Lytechinus pictus: one gene and its partner. Each later gene encodes a partner of the first gene's protein in a complex. Links are inferred from orthologs where the notes say so. Each region holds a gene or a part of one and is shown on either strand. Other genes may lie near its edges.

Region 1 (8,018 bases):
ATAAACCTTGTTGGACTTTCTGCAGGTATACTGGAACAGAATTTGCAAAAGAATTTTGTCTCATTACCAACCTTGAAGCCTATGGATTGATGTGCGGCTAACGTGACAGCTATGGACCCATCTTGGGCAGTTATTTCAGCTAAACGAGCAAACTCTGTGTTTGATAAACCAAGTCCACCTGTGCAAGTAATAATACAAATCAAATGAAAAAAAAATTACCCCCCGTACTGTTTATTCATTTCTTACATATAGTTTAAACAGGGTAGCCCCAATCAGAAGTGATATACTGTTTTACTTGAGGCCCTGTACAACATAAAAACATAACAAAATGCATGGATATAAAAAAAGGGAACAAAAAAAAATATCACAAAGAAAATGGAATTTTCAGATATAACTTACTCAGGAAAATTATGATAACAAAAGCAATGTGAATTTGAAAATAATAATTATTAACCACAGAAATATGTATATAAGATAGAAAGAAAGATATCAAACATTGAAGAATAGGCAGAGAAAGAAGAGGGGAAGTAGGGAGGAATATCATATTATTTTTTTAATACAACCTACTCACAAACACACATAATTCTTCACCTTTGTAGAATATATGTAGCCTACATACAATATTTATTTTGCCAACTACCAGAATAGAACTTTGATATATTACAGGTAACATGCAAAAATAGCAATAATTCCTCAAGTACAACTCTTTGAATATTACACAATTCATTAAAAAAAAAGAGCTTCAATTTATTCAAGCAACAAAGTGATCTCTGAAATACTTATCCTATGCATATACAAAGTAAAAAAAAATACACACACAAAATTCTTATTACCATAATCTTCAGGAACCTGTTGACCAAAGAGACCAAGATCTTTTAAACCTTGCAATGTTTTCTCATCGATTTTGGCATTTACATCAATTGTTTTGGAGTCCACTGTAGAAGGTAAAAAAAAGAAAATTCAGACTCTCTAACTGGGTTCAGCATAAAAGATAGGCCTAAGAGTTATTTTCAATATGAGCTTTGAAAATTATTTAAGACTGAAATTTGTACTAGCTGTATCAGACTTTCCAATATTCTTTGTGAATGTGTGCATCAAGGTCTTCATTCTTGTATTACTTATATAGTCAGGTGACCTTCACAGCCCTAAATAATACATGTGGCTGGAAGCATGCTTGAGGTAGCAACATGAACAAATTATATCAAAACATTAAAATCTCTTTAAATAAGGACATATTTCCATTATATTTTATTTTTTCTTGTATCCCCTCAATCAAGAAATGTAAGCGAGCTTTCAAATCTGACAGTGGACAATGTTGCTATTTCTTTTAAATGACAGGATACAAATGTGATTTCCCTATGATTTTTGTCTTCACTGCTATCCTTGGTATCTCAAAGAATAGCAACCACCTTGCTTATTTTGACAAATAAAAGAAATGTGGCAAAGATGAATGTATGAAATAATTCTATACTTCTTTATACTGATTCAAAAAAGGAAATCTTCATCTGGTTTTACTTTCTAACATTTTTAAGTAAGAAAATGATATTAAAACATTTTCAGTAACCTTGAATTTACACTGGTTGACTAGATTATGGTCCCTAGACACCTCATTATTATAGTGAAGTAAATGAACAGAACAAAGTATGGTGTGACAGGGTTAAGGTCCCATAGGACCAGTTAAAAACCCATTAACATATACATATGATACATATCATTATAAGCATTTTATTCAAAATATTAAACTACATGTAAGCTCTCTATACAAAAGATAGAACATATACATGGGTATGAAACATTTTAAAATAACTATCCTACCTTCTTCATTGAAATATTTCTCAATAGGATCACACATTTGGTTGAGATGTTCAAACTGCTCCACTGTGATTTCAGGGAAAGGGAATGCATCATCCTAAAAGTAATATGTAATGAAACGCAAAGTTAATCATACGACAGGATAATTTAATAATAATGTAAAATGATAATAATGTGAATTATAAAGTGCCAACTCCACTCTGTAGAGTGCTCAAGGCGCATAAAGAGCTAAGAGTTAAATAAAAAAGTTTTTAGATTTTTGAAAGTTTCGACAGAGGTACATTTTTTAATGTCTTCAGGAAGGCTGTTCCACAAAGGGGGCATGCAAAAGCAAATGATCTTTCCCCCCAGGTTTTTGAAACTTTTGGAATAACAAGGAAGCCAGAAGTGGATGAACGCAAAGACCTGCTTGGTTTGTAGTAATTAATAAAGTGCATCCCACAAAAAAGGAAACCAGGATTCCCATGTCTTTATTCTTCAAAGGCAAAAGAATTATGATATTTCACTTTATACAGGATCATATAATTAAATATTCCTGTTTATTTTGATACCTAATACGAGACAAACACTTCACGCATTAATGAGCAAGATGAGTTTGAAATTTTAATGTAAAAATCAGGTTGCGCAGAAAAATTGGACAAGATTGGTTCGTGATATGTCTGCTACCTCGGCTACATTTGCTTGACGGCGAGTCAAAAATAGCCGTTTTATCCGTCTTTATTCATATGTAGCTGTTACAAAATGTTAAAACGGCTGTTTTCAACTCGCCGTACGGCCGCCAGGCATAGAGCAAATGTGACCGAGATATAACTTAGTCTTAGTCTTGGGTATAGATTTTTATTCTAAATCAAAAACGCTAAACAAATGACCACTGCACTGGACTACGTCTTGTTCCACTGGAGGAGAAATTTAAAAAAGTTTTAGAAAATTCAAAAAATAAAAACTCCTCCAGTAAAAAGGTTGATTTTAGCTGTTGCTAAACATAGTCGTAGAGTAAATTTTGCTGGTTTAACATGTTTATAGCTACAGTCACAGTCTAAATTAGATCTAGATTATATGTTTAAAACTAAAAATTAAAATAGGACTCCGGGAGTACGGTCATGACGGTACATATTTTGGGGGTAAACATATGATACGGTACCTTGTTAAATTTGCCAAGACAAAGATTTTTGGCGAATCCGACTGGAGAAGCTGTGACTCGAGAGACGCTTGACGCCGCTGCAGAGCTCGGACTCACAGAATCTTGGAAGCGGGAGGCCGATGTGGCAACCCCCCGTGCTGCCGGGGAAGAGTTTTGATGTGAAGTGCCGGCAGTGTGTCTTCCAATGTGAATTGTTCCTGTGGCAGGATCTGTCCATTTATGAAAGCAATTCACAGATCTGTTTGGTATGAGTTCGGTCCCATTAACAGACCTTGATATTAAGTGAGAATGAATATTTTGAACATTGCGAAAATTGCGGCAAAACATGACTGCATTCAATAATTCTCCACAAGTTTTAAGATTTTTACTTGGGGACTTTCCCTGAAATATGCCAGCAAAGAACGTATTATGTAAGTGGGAGATTAGACTTATGGTAAGGGGCGGTCTTAATTGATGGGAATATCTTTGTGGTTGCTGATGGAGATATTTAGCATTTTGACTCATTATGGATGAAAAAAGAATGATTGAATAATATAATAAATTAATATTGTCTCGATATTGAATGCAATTTATATTGATACATTCTATAAGTTTATCACACTTTTAACGATGTGAACTTTTCAATGGAGCCTCGGCCTCCAAAATAGTGGTATCGTCCTAAGCTGGAAAAAATGGCCGAGTACAAGGGAGCAGCCAGCGAGGCTGGAAGAGTTCGTCAACTTTTGATGAAACGGGAGAAACAGAGAGAAGAGCTAGAACGTTTAAAACAACGCATAGAGCAGGTAAGATCTGAAAAATATTTTTTTCGGTAATATTGGTGAATTAACTGACATTATTCGGGGAGTAGACGACTGCCAATCAATGGTGCAGTGCACCGAGAACTTTGTGAGTCAGCCGTTTGCTGCTGAGAGGCGCGGGGAGTCTCGGCGTGTGCTAAGCTGAGTTACCGCTAGACCAAAAGCTTCGGTCTCTGTTATGTTGGTTGTTCAGCTGAACTCCGTTGGCTTCACTCACCAAATACAGAGACCGAAGTTCTAGCGCGATCTGTACAGGGGACTCAATGGCCATATGTTTATGTACTTAAGATCGGATAAAACGGGGAAGTGAATTTGCGCGACAGCCGAGGTAAGTCACTGTTTTTGTTCCTTTTAACTTGATTTTTCTCGGTTTTTTGGCAATTGATGCCAAGACTCAAGAGGGAATATTAATTTGCATTTTGGTCGCGTGAATTTTCAAAATTTTTACTCATTAAAGACAAAAATTGAAGAGCCCCGACGGGGGGATTTTGCATTGCAAGTCCCCTAATGGTGGCTGCACGCTAGCGAGCCGTCTGTGTATGAGGAGAAATTAAAAAAAAAAAAATGTTAAAAAACTCCTCGAAACAGACGGCTGCCAGCTGTCTAAGTTACCGCTAGCTGCTTACTTAGTGCTGCCTGAGGCTGAGCTGCGCCTGCTACAGTGCTAGCTGCTGGAGTGCTGCTTTTGTGGATCCATGCTCTCATAAACATAATCGATTATGACATTGGATTGTAAAGTATACTCTGTGGAGGTGCGGATGGATGGCGTTATCAACTTGGAGAATATTTGCTAGCTTACGAGAGATAACTGTCCAAGACGCGTCTCATTTGTTTGTACATATGTAATCAAATTGATAATTTGTATTGTATTTTTCTTATTAATTTTCTCTGCGTTTGAGTGGAAAGCCAGCATGAAAATGAGAATAAGCAAACACAGTGGAAATAAGCCTCATCATAGTACAGGAAAAATAAACAGTTGCTGTGAGTGTGAAGATGGTGGATGGAGCCTTGGAGGGGTAGAGAAAAAATAGGCCATGTGTCATGAGGTCGCCGACCAAAAATGGGTGGTGTTACATATTTTGGTTAATTTGTGTTGAGTTATTCCTAAGTATTTTCAAAATCAAAGAAGCTATGCCAACAAGTTTGGTATCATTTTCAAGCTGAATTCATTGGCTAATGATTTAGAAAGTTTCATTGCTCTAGGATAAGTAGAACACATCTTTAAAGACGGAGCACCGGGGATGGTGCGGGCAGCGATGCCACCTGTAGGAAGTCAATGGGGATTGATTCTCAATACTTTGTGCTATTTTGGGTAGAACGTTAATATTTTTGTGAAAACTTGACTTCCAACTAAAAATTTGGTATCATATTGAAACTACAACAATCTTCTTTACTGTTAATTGATTGAAAAATAGTTTTGGCAATGTCATTATCATTCAAATACCAAAAAACATTGAAAAAGAAATAGAAAATTGTTGAAATTCTTCAAGTTTCACAACAATCCTTCCATATTGAAACATTTTCTTCATTTATTAGTTATTCTTAGTTATATTAAGTAATTCTTAATTTCAATGTACCTTTTGTAAGATACAGAAAACAAGTGACTATTCTGTAGGATGAAAGTAATAAGTGAATACTTGGCTTTGTTCAGACTTACAATATGTGAAGAATCTTAGGAGTATTATTTGGTCTAATGATATCATTATCAGAATTTCTTTTAAATTGTTTTATACCTTTAATAAATCAGATGAACAAGTAGATTTAACCACAATGTAATTGCAATGCAGGCAGAAATAGCATGCACAATATACATTTATTATTTTTAGGGAAAAAGATTGCATAAGTTCTCGTTGATTTTGAAGTAATTTCATAACCATAAACCCAATAAAATTACACATTGTTAAAAAGGTCTGTACTGTACAGAAATGTCATTATTTTGGTCATCGGGGGACCATGTATTTTATTATAATCACAAATATGAGATTGAAAAATATTAAAAATTTTCCATTCAACATAATATAACACTAATGCCTTACACATATTGCTGTTTCTGAGTGAATATTTGGGTTCATTGAGCGATTTCCTTTCAGAAAATATATAGTTTTACTATCATAGGGTGTATACTTAGTGAAAATCACCATGTAACACGAAAGTAGGCGACCTCATGAGACACATGGCCAATAATATCCTATAATTCATAACTTTTATCTAATGATGGTCCATGACATAATGATACTGTTTGCTCTTGAAAAAAAGCATTCCTGAAAGTTTGTTTTTTCTATGATTTTGTTTCCTTTTGTTATCAGGACAGTGTCAGTCGAGTGTCTACCATCAGCGCAAAATTTTCGGCTCATTATGATGCAGTGGAACAGCAACTCAAGAGCAGCACCATTGGTACAGTATTTCATCATCTGCATTATTGAATCAAAGAGGGGGGGGGTACATGGGGCTTTGTGTGGTATCCATTTTGAAATGCTCCAAAGAGCCCACAAATTTTTTTTTTTTTTTTAAGCCCTAAAAATCCCCATTGACTGCAATGTCAAAGCTTTTCCAATGGTGCAGATTGTTTCTTTGAATTGTGAATTTAACATTGAGAAAGGACTTCATCGACTCACAATAGATCACAACAATGGCGACCTAACATTTTAGGGAAGTATCAAACTTTTTTTCACATTATAATAAACCAAAAAAATGAAGATATTTCACGTATCATATAATGAAATACACAAGTAAAGTGGGGTGATGTCTTCAGCTTCCTCAATTGCATTCTCACCAGGATGTGTATATAAATGTTTTGTGAATTCAAACAAAAGTAAAATGTCAAACTTTCCTATTGAACATTGAATATTTGAAGACATTTTCAGGTTCATGCTTGGTTGATTTTTCTCTTTTCAAGTCAGCATATTTTTGTATTTGGGCTTGGCCTTTAAATCAGTTTGTACTTTGCATTTAGAGATTTGTTTGTTTGTCACAACTCCTCTTTTTCTTTCTTTCTTTTTAGGTCTGGTCACCTTCGATCAGATGAGAGCAAAGAGAGAGGACTTGGTGAAGGAGAGAGAAAAGGAACTTGCACAATCATCTAAAGCTCTGTAAGTCAATTCATACACTCCAATCTCCACCGTAATCTATTTGGTGAAACGTTGGCATAACCGTGTGAGATCCAAATTGTACAGTTTTATTTTCTTAAACTTTGTGTGCCCTATATCGTCATTAAAAAAATGTAAACTTCTTCCTTTTTCCATTGCTTCACATCACAGAAATAACTCATAGAATGCGTTTAATAAGTAAAAAGTTGTTAAAACAAAAACGTATGGCAAAATTAAGGGAGTGTTTCATGGAGCATCTTGTTAGTGATTTTCACCAACTTATTTGTTCCGAGCCAATCAGATGCAAGGATTTCAGAAGCTTATAACAGTTGCCAGTGAAAATCACTATTTATTTAATGAAATACCCCCCAGGGCTGAGACAAAACCGAAAAATGATACTTGAAAAAATTTGACATTTCCTTTACCAAGAAATCATCCTAAAGTGCACAGAGTCAAAATGTAGAGTAATTTTTTAATTCAAGTACATTTTGCAATACAAATCAGTCTACTACATTGACTAGTATCATGCATGCAACATCTCTTTCACTTGAATAGCTGATTCATTGATCCCCCTCCCCCCTTCCAACCCATCCCTTATTACTGACCATTCAATAGAATTGAATTGAAAGACAGGGATGTTTTAAATGAGATTGCTTCAAATATTTCTATATACACTGAGAATAACTGAAATATAGACTGTCTCATTTGACCCTCGATAATGTTCTCGGAGAATTTCCAGGAAGAGGAAATTGTATTTCTAGAATGAATACCAATAAGCCGAACATTAATGACAGGCATGTTCTGTATCCATTGTTTCATGTGTTTGTACAGAGCAAAGGAACGAAAGAGGAAGAAGAAACTGAAGAATGCTGGAACGCTGTCATTCAATATGGATGAAGATGATGAAGAAGGAGAAGATGGAGTTTGTGATGATAAAGAGGAGGAAGAAGAAGATAAAGCAGATGATGAGTTAGGTGAGATTTTCATCATGTGTGTGTGTGTGTGTGAATATTGTGGGTTAAACTTCATAGAACATTTTAACCCAATTAACTGAAATCTAAATTAATGTAGTTGCAGCAAACGATGATATCTTGGGAAAGTCTTTAAAATCAAGGTGAAATGTGACCATATCATTGTACATCTGGATCTGGTACATAATTTACTTGTTCTTATGAAACATGA
Region 2 (8,610 bases), on another chromosome or scaffold:
TAGGTCTTGCATTATTTGTAACTTCCCATTAACAATACTTTAAATATTATGCTCGGAATACACAATTTTCAACATGGTTGTCATAAAAGCTCATGAAATGTTTGCTACATTAAAGAGGAAAGGGGAGCTTTTTCATTAATTTAGTTGCAAATTGTCACTCAGGAATAATCATCAATCATTAATCTTTACTTTTTACTATTCAAACTATTCAAATTCATTGCTAGATGATCATATGAATGTGTGTGCCCTAAACAATAGATGAGAAGTATTACACATTAAAATGTGTTTTCAATGTGCCTTCATCCATACCAGCCAATAGCTGCATCTGCAAAAAAAGTGCCAAGACAAAGTTGTAAACAACACGTCTTTCAGGGGCTCAAATACTTTTCATGGCTGCAGTTTCAGAAGCAAATTTTAATCTTTCTTGAAAAATTACAGTAGAGGCTACATGTATGTCTAATTCATATTTTGAGGTTTCAAGATCCAACAGATACAAGACCCACTTCATTCTAACACCAGCCACAACACCATACTTGAAATGAGGCTGGTGTTGGGAGTGACCTCGGAAAATATGACAAATTCCCGGCAGTTTGTGTTTAGCGCTGGTGTTGAATGTCGCCTGCTGAATAATAAGAGGCATTACAGCTGGTGTTGACTATCTTAATTTCATGTTTGGTGTTGGTATTCGTGATTTGAAGCTCGCGAACGATGAAACATCCCAGTAATTTTTATGAACAATAATAATTTGTCTTTCAGATATTTGAAGTTATGTTGGCCTTACTTTGCATTCTGTATGAGATTTTTATAACGCGATCGATATATCGTTCTTCTGAATCCAGCTCGGTTCAGCATTCTTTTCATGCCCTCATCAGTCTAAACATCAACACCAGCTGACGAATGCCAAAAAAAAAAATGGCTTCAACTCAAGTCAACCCTGATGTCAACAGCAGATAGAAAACTTTGCACATCCAAGGCAATTTAAAATTGCCTGGCCACCGGCACCGGGCACAGGCACAGTATTAAAACAAAAAAGTTCCCTATAAAGGCTATAGATACTATAATTTATAAATACATACATGATCGCTCACAAACACAATCACTCACAAAATAAAAATGATCGGCCTTATCCTGAAATAAGTCACCTCTCTTCTCCTGTGTGCGCTTGTTGTCATGGTTGTGTACAAAGTCAATGGGAGAGGAAAGAAGTCACCTCCACTGACGAAATGAACCAGGGTGACCAGACATACCGTATTTTGCTTCTTTGTCCCGGCGTCCCGACAAACCCTTCCCGGGACGCCTATTTGTCCCGTATGTCAGAATATTGAACAAAATGTAATTAATACATAGAAAAGTGAAGAATTTTCATAAAAATAACCTGGGAAAATAACCAACAGATGACAAAGGAGAGACAACAATAAAATTACTGTAAACTTTTGCAAGTTCTGCGGCTTGCAATGGCTTCCTGTCTGTGTGTGTGGCAGGCTACTAGGATCGGAGCAGATTCTCAATGGTGCAAACAATCTCACATGATCAACAGTTTTTCCACCAAAATAATCACAAAATGGGCGGGCAATTTTAATTTTTATATTATGGATTCTCAGATTACTGATTTGGTGATGTAATCGGTGGAGCAAGATATTGAGTTTTCATAACTAGATCTAGTTGTTTCAGGTTTCGTTTTAAGTCTTGTTGTGATCAGTGCTAACTTGTCATGGGATGAGAGATGTGTGATGCTGCGATGTTTCATCTAATTTTTAAGTTTGACAATGTTTCACTTTGAAATTTTATTCATTTCTAAAACATTTTAGTGTTCTAACAATTTTTAAAATAGATTTTTAAAAACCCAAATATCATGAAGATGATTGGATATTTTTGCTTGCTTGAAGTTTGAACTTTTTTCCTTTGTTTCATTTTTATTTTTTATCCTTCTTTCTTCATCCTTCTATCCTTCCTGCTTGCCTTTTTTTGTTCCATCTATCTTTATTTCCAATCTTTCCTCGCTTTCTTTTCTGATCCTTTCTCTCTCTCTCTGTTCATTTTTCTTTCTTTCTCTTACTTTCCTTCTTTTAAATACCTTTTTTTATTTCCTTCATTCTTTAATTCTTTCCTTGAACTTTTCTTTGCTTCCTTCTCCCTTCCTCTCCTTTTCATTTTCGTTCTTTCTCTCCTTCCATTAGTTTTCTTTTTTTTCATACTCTCCTCTCTCCCTTTCATCGGCTTTCTTTCATTCTTTATTTTCTCTTTTCCCCTTATTCATTCTTTCCTTTCCTGTTTTTTCCATCTTTCTTTCTTTCAAAGAATGAAGGAAACCTTTTTCTTTCTTCTTTTTTTTTCTTACTTTCTTTTTTTTTCCTTTCTCTCATTTATTTATTATATCACACATGCATTCATTCATCTTCCCTTCCTTTCTTTATTCATTTCAAAGAATGGCAGAAAGTAAACCTTTTTTTCTTTTATTCATCCGACCTTTCATTCTAATTTTAAAAAAAAAATTTCCTTCATTTTCATTTCCCCCTTCATTTTGTATTTCTTTCCTCTATTCCATCTCTTTTCTTTCCTATTTTCTTTCTCTCCTTCATTCTTTCGTTCACCCTCCCTTTCCTTTTCTTATCAAACATTGTGTTTGTTGATTTTTTTTTATCAGTTGCTCCGATCGTGCATCGTGCTTTTTGTCCCATATTTCATTTTCTGGTCACCCTGAAATGAACGGCAGTGAATTAAATCAAGAAAATGCCAAATGATCCCTCCGCCGGACCCCTTCGAGTCTGAGGGGAAATATTCCGACCCCCCCCCCCCCCCCCTTTCCGAGCAATAACAATAGTACATTGTCCCACATGTGCTTATCTGTGTTGGTGATCAGTCATCAGTGCAGAGCAGCGTGATCTTTTCAGCTAGTCTTCCTTAGATTTCAGCCTTTCATGTATTAACAAAGTTCAGTTAATGTACCTGTACCAGATCTAGATCCACCTACGATTATAAAGTAACAATTAACCTTGGTTTTACAGACTTTCTCATAGAGTGTTTCTGAACTTACCACTTACCCAGGTCGGACGTCGGCCGGCCGCTCGGAGAGCATCTTTGCCTTTGGTACACGTACCGGTATACATCACGTACGTACATCACGTGCATTATATATATGGGAACCCATTATATTAGTATGTGAGTATATGCCATAGAATACATCTCTATGGTATATGCATGCACCGCGACATTTCGGCCAAGCTGAGTACGGCCACAGGCAAGGTTCGAGACCAAAAGTTTTAGGGGAGCTTAGCGGTGCAACAGCCGGGGTTGGGGCAGGAGTGGCAGTCTGCCCACCCTGGCGGAGCTCACCAGGAAAAAAAACCGGGGAAAGCTAAGACAGAATTAAAGAAAATGAAAAGGAAGAAAAAGAGGAAAGAGGGGGGGGGGGGGGAGAAAGGGGAAAGAATTGAGGGGAAAAAGAAAGCCGATAAATTAAGAGAAGAAAGGTAAAACGGAAGGAAAAGGAAAAAAACACGAATAGGGGGCCTACGCGTATAGATCTAGGTATAAGAAAAAATAATCCCGAAATACTAATAAATAGGAGAGAAAGGAGAACCAAGAGATGGCCACGTGGAACGGGAATTTATGGCGGGAAAACTGAGGAGTGAGAAAAGTGACGGAAAATGAAATAGAACAATGAGGTAAGTATAGACCCCGGTACGTGGTATAGGTCTTAATATGCTCAAGCTGAATTTTTAAAAATGAAGAAAAAAATGAAGACACAGTCTGGGCTACCAAAGATTAATAATAAATTAAAGCATGAGATGGCTTATTAATGTATGATAACTTGCTAAATGGCAATAACGATCGCAATCAGGACAATATTACAGAAGATTATTAGAGAGGTTCCATGCAGAGGTACCGTCCAAGCATTGCCTTATAAATTATGTCAATTTAATGAGGCCTACATAATTTCATTTTCATAGGGCAAAAACTCGCTCTTGATGTTATAGAAAATTTGTTTCGTAAAACCTCCGTAAAACCTGTATACCCGCGTGATTTGATTGAAAATAGCGGCCATCAAGGTAAATGACTGAATCTATATGGAGAGGAAGGGAGTCCCAAAAATTTCTACGACCAAGAACAAACAAGCAAAAAAAGAAAAGGAGAAAAGAAAGAAAAGCACTTAAAGGACAAGTCCACCCCACAAAAAATTTGTTTGAATAAAAAGAGAAAAATCCAACAAGCATAACACCGAAAATTTCATCAAAATCGGATATAAAATAAGAAAGTTATGACTTTTAAAAATTTTGCTTAATTTCACAAAACAGTTATAATAATATGCACGTCCTGAAAAATCCTGTTCACATTATGACCGGGATATTTTTGGCTCTTGCCCCTCCCCGGCAACCGACCCCTGTTACGCCCCGAGCTTAACTGTGCATGCCTATGAGACTTCTGCAGGGAGCTTGAGAATTTTTGACGTTGTTCATTTCAGTACATGGAAAATAGTCTATCGTAAGCAGCATGCATGGGTGAAACAGCTAAGGGTCGATCGGCGGCCGGCCGGGCCGCGGGCCGGCCGGCGCGGGGGGGGGGGGGGAGAGCCAAAAATTTCCTCCCGGTCATATCATGATGTGAACAGGATTTTTCATGATTACACGCGAGCACTATGGTGCGAGGCTCTATGTGAGAGTAGCGTTATGAGTAAAAAGATAAAATAAGTAAAAAAATCGCAAAATCAAGCTCGAAGCACAAGCTAAATTTTTTTGGTCCCACTCACTTAAAAAAAGGACCTATCCCTGTTTGCGTGACACTTTGTGATATTTTCACCAAATAAAATATGCGAGATGAAAAATGTTAATATCCTGATATGATAAGTGGACGTTAGCATTTCTTATGAACAGGATGGGTATCCATATATCTAAACAAAAATGCATGCGAGCGCGTTTTAATACTTTTTTGCAATTATGAAATTTATTATGCAAGATGTGTATCTCGCTAAAACAAATAATGAAAACTCGAATCATGAAAAAAAAAATTATTGTGCATATTGACTCGAACACTGGATTTTTAAGCCCCATGTTATCTTATTAAACAGATCATTTATTTATCTAAATCAAAAGTCACTGCGAGCGCGAACAAAATTTTGAATGTTATAAAATGACCTCAATTAAAGTTTTATTTCATATTGCAGGGAACTATACCATGACTATATGAGGAAATTTTACAAAATTTGAAGGGTGAATAGTGCTAGCTGTTGTGGATCACTTTACAGCTTAAGTGAGATGCTCATGACAGCATTTACATTATTTCTTCAGTTTCGGAATATTCGGGGGGCCGGGCGCGGGAGCAAGTAGGGCAACGATCCTGACCCCCCCCCCTTGGTACCACCACTTACAGCATGGTGCATGTGGCAAAAGTTTCTGAATAAAAGTCCCGGGAGAGCGAAGCGAGCGAGGTTTTCTTCTACTTTTTCATTACAAGTGATAGATTTTGACATGATCTTATTCCTCTTTCCTGTCCATTTCTTTAATTTCTCCTTTTGTTCTTGGTCGTAGAACTTTTTGGGGCCAGTCCCCAGCAACGCCTTCCATTTTTATGCCAGTGCTGCTGGGGTCCGAGCGGAACCAGAACCTCTCGAGATTTCATTACATGAAACCTTACTTTTCAATCTGATCATATATGTTTTACAAAACGCATCACTTCAATACAGTGGAGTAATAAACCAAACATTTGAGGGGCACAACATGTGAAATGTGGGGATATTTCTAAAACGTCACGAACGAGTTCATTACACTACCTCATTTCCCGTTTCTGTTTGTCCCTTTTCTTTCCTCTTGAGTCCTGTCATACTCGTTCCCGTTCCATTTTGCCACCTTTCTATATATTTCCCCTTTCTCATTCATTAGTAAGTTCTTTCTCATAATCTTGTCTCTGTTTTCCTCTTTCCGCTGAAAACCTTTCCTCTCTTTATAGACTCTTTTCCCTTTCCGTTTCTTTTTCCCCTCCCTTTCCCCTTTTCCTCCATTTCCTTTCTTTCTTTCGTTTCTTTCAAAGTTTTCCCATTCTCCCCGGTTTTTTTCCCGGAGCCATGCAGGGCTGAGGGGGGCAGATCGAGGCCGCCCCCGTGCCCCTCGCCGCCTGTTACCACTAAAGAAGACAAGGAATAATATGCCTTGTTAGTTGCTATTATGTCAAAACACTTGTTCTCAAAAGATGTATAGCTAGGCCTACATGCATTACCTCCATGAGTATATAGGGGAAGGCGGGGTAAGTTGAGCATAAATTATAGGGGCAAGTTGAACCACTACCCCCAGGCCAATAATGAATGAGTCAGACACTGTGGTGTTGTCATTGTATTGATGACCCATTGCATAACCCCTAACCCCACCACAAGTTGTTTTCAACTTTGAAACAAAAAGTACTTTTTTTGAGGGAAAAATACAAATTTCAGCCAAAAAAGTAAAAAAGGGTGCGAAATAGATAAGTGCTTTTTACACACATGCACACACGTCTTTAAATAAAATAAAGACCAAAGACTATAAAGAACAACATTGTTAGCCCAGGTATGGAGCTTCATTCTTGTCATAGTCTTTTATAATTATGATGGATGCATAAGAAATGTGTGGAAGCGAAATTATCGCATCATGTTCGGACTGGGGTAAGTTGTGCCAGCCGACATGGGGCAAGTTGAGACATGGTAATTCTTATAATGTAGGCCTATATAAAAAACAAAAAAACCTTAAAAAGCCTTCGATATGCAGACAGAAAGGAGCAAATTTACATGACTGTTCTATTCCTTTTAGGATGTTGTTATTTATAGAGAATTAGCAAGTGAAAAGACTTTGAATAAAAAAATTAGACATGCTGGTTCTTCCCCCACACATATAGTGTTTGTGGCTCAACTTACCCCACAGATGGGGCAAGTTGAGCCATCACATCAGACAATGACTTTCAGTGTGGGGATAGAAAGTTATATATAGGTGAAAGATATTTCAGAAGAATTGAATTTTAAGGCAAGGTACTTATTTCTACAAGATTATAAATAGTATCAATTCCAACATGCAAAAAGCAAAAGGTGGCTTACCCATAGAGAGTATACATCTCTATGGGCTTACCCCGCCATCCCCTATATACGGATCTTGTTCATAAAAGAAAGGATCGCGTTGCCCCGCGTTGACAATGCAAGCTTTTACCGTGTCGCAAAAGGTGGGACGAATGCCTGATACGATATTTCTGATGGACGACGAGTTACACTCATTGTAGAAATGGAAATGGCAGGAGCAAAGTCAAATCGTCGTACTCTCTCCAAAGTCTCAACTTATTTTTCATATTTTCTTTGTCAGTTTTCTTAATATTGGCATACTGACGCGATCATGGCGGCTTAAAGAATCACAGTCGGCGGAAAGTCCTTCGAGAGGATTGTTTATTCCAACTCTAAATAGAATTCGCCGAACTGTTTAATAAATAAGCCTAGGCTTCACGTCTTACGACATCACTCGCAAGTCGCAGTCGATCGGAGTGTGCAATAGCCAATAAACTGGGAGGAGCTGCCTATCCGTCCGTCCAGCCAGGTTGTGTGCATTGAAGTTTGAACTCAGCCACATCTTTTTGGGGTGCTAATTCGCTTTGCTGTCCTTGGCCCTTGGCTGTGTAGTGTAGACCCTTCAGAAAAGACGCAGGATCTAATTGGGTGTACCATACAGTACAGGCTTAAAATCTACTCCATCAAGGATCAAGGCACTAGGCCTAGTCAGCAATAATAATTTGTCATTGAGTCATTTGTAAATTAAAACAATCCCAGATCACATCCACACAATGTCAAAAGCTACCAAACGCAAACATGTAACAAGAGAGGTTCTGGAAGATTATATTTTGCCAGAGGAAAATCAACAAATTTTGAAGGTTAGTAGTAAAAGTAGAGTCTTAAACTTTCACTTGGCCTAGACTTGGTCATGTTGGTCTTGGAAGTTTCGCTTGGCCATGAAACTTTTAATGAAATGGCTCAGTCAGTGAGCACATCTCATGCTTGAGTAAACACCAAACTTCAAAGTCAAACCTTGTTTTCTCCTTATTCTTTGGAGCACTCAGTGTTACATTCAATCAAATATTTATTTTGGTTATTGATCAATTTTCATCTTAGTTAAAAGTTAAAGGTAAAAGACAGTAGGGCCTACCAATTGGCAATAGTTGCAGCAAACAATTATTTCATGAGAAAGTCTTTTAATCAAGGTTAATTGTCAAGATATTATCAATTAAATCTAGATCTGGGATCTGTTTCATAAAACTTGTTACAATAACAAATTTACAAGAACAGTTAAAAGCTACTGAAATCCTTTAATCTGATTGGCTGATGGTAAATTTGTTATAGAAACTCTGCATTTGTTGCAACAAATCGTAATGAAACAGGACCCAGGTAGATCTACTTTATGTAAACTTATCTTTGTAAAAATCATGAAATCAATGGCTCAAAATCGATAATTCTGATGATTACTAACACAGAAAAGCTATGTGGGAGAGTGTATTAATATTGCTTCGAAAAATACCCAGCATTTGATGGAATTCCATGCTTATTTTGCTCATTTCTCAGCAATTAACACATTATCTTCCAGAGGCACATATTTTTTTATTTATACATATACA

Evidence for each region.
Region 2: complex I assembly factor ACAD9, mitochondrial-like (region 1) and complex I intermediate-associated protein 30, mitochondrial-like share a complex: the UniProt entries of both Homo sapiens proteins name them as parts of the mitochondrial complex. The link is inferred for Lytechinus pictus from reciprocal best matches to the Homo sapiens genes ACAD9 and NDUFAF1.

What each region holds. Positions count from the first base shown.
Region 1 is NC_087247.1:7,772,130-7,780,147, forward strand, and holds the start of complex I assembly factor ACAD9, mitochondrial-like, read right to left. Parts: upstream 3,369-8,018; 5' UTR 3,281-3,368; coding exon 2,954-3,280; intron 1,910-2,953; coding exon 1,816-1,909; intron 936-1,815; coding exon 834-935; intron 179-833; coding exon 72-178; intron 1-71. Other genes in the region: protein FAM50A-like, read left to right, coding at 3,625-3,735, 6,057-6,144, 6,752-6,839, 7,668-7,810. UniProt on the Homo sapiens protein: As part of the MCIA complex, primarily participates in the assembly of the mitochondrial complex I and therefore plays a role in oxidative phosphorylation.
Region 2 is NC_087251.1:31,762,033-31,770,642, forward strand, and holds the start of complex I intermediate-associated protein 30, mitochondrial-like, read right to left. Parts: upstream 3,357-8,610; 5' UTR 3,035-3,356; intron 1-3,034. Other genes in the region: probable RNA-binding protein EIF1AD, read left to right, coding at 7,786-7,872. UniProt on the Homo sapiens protein: As part of the MCIA complex, involved in the assembly of the mitochondrial complex I.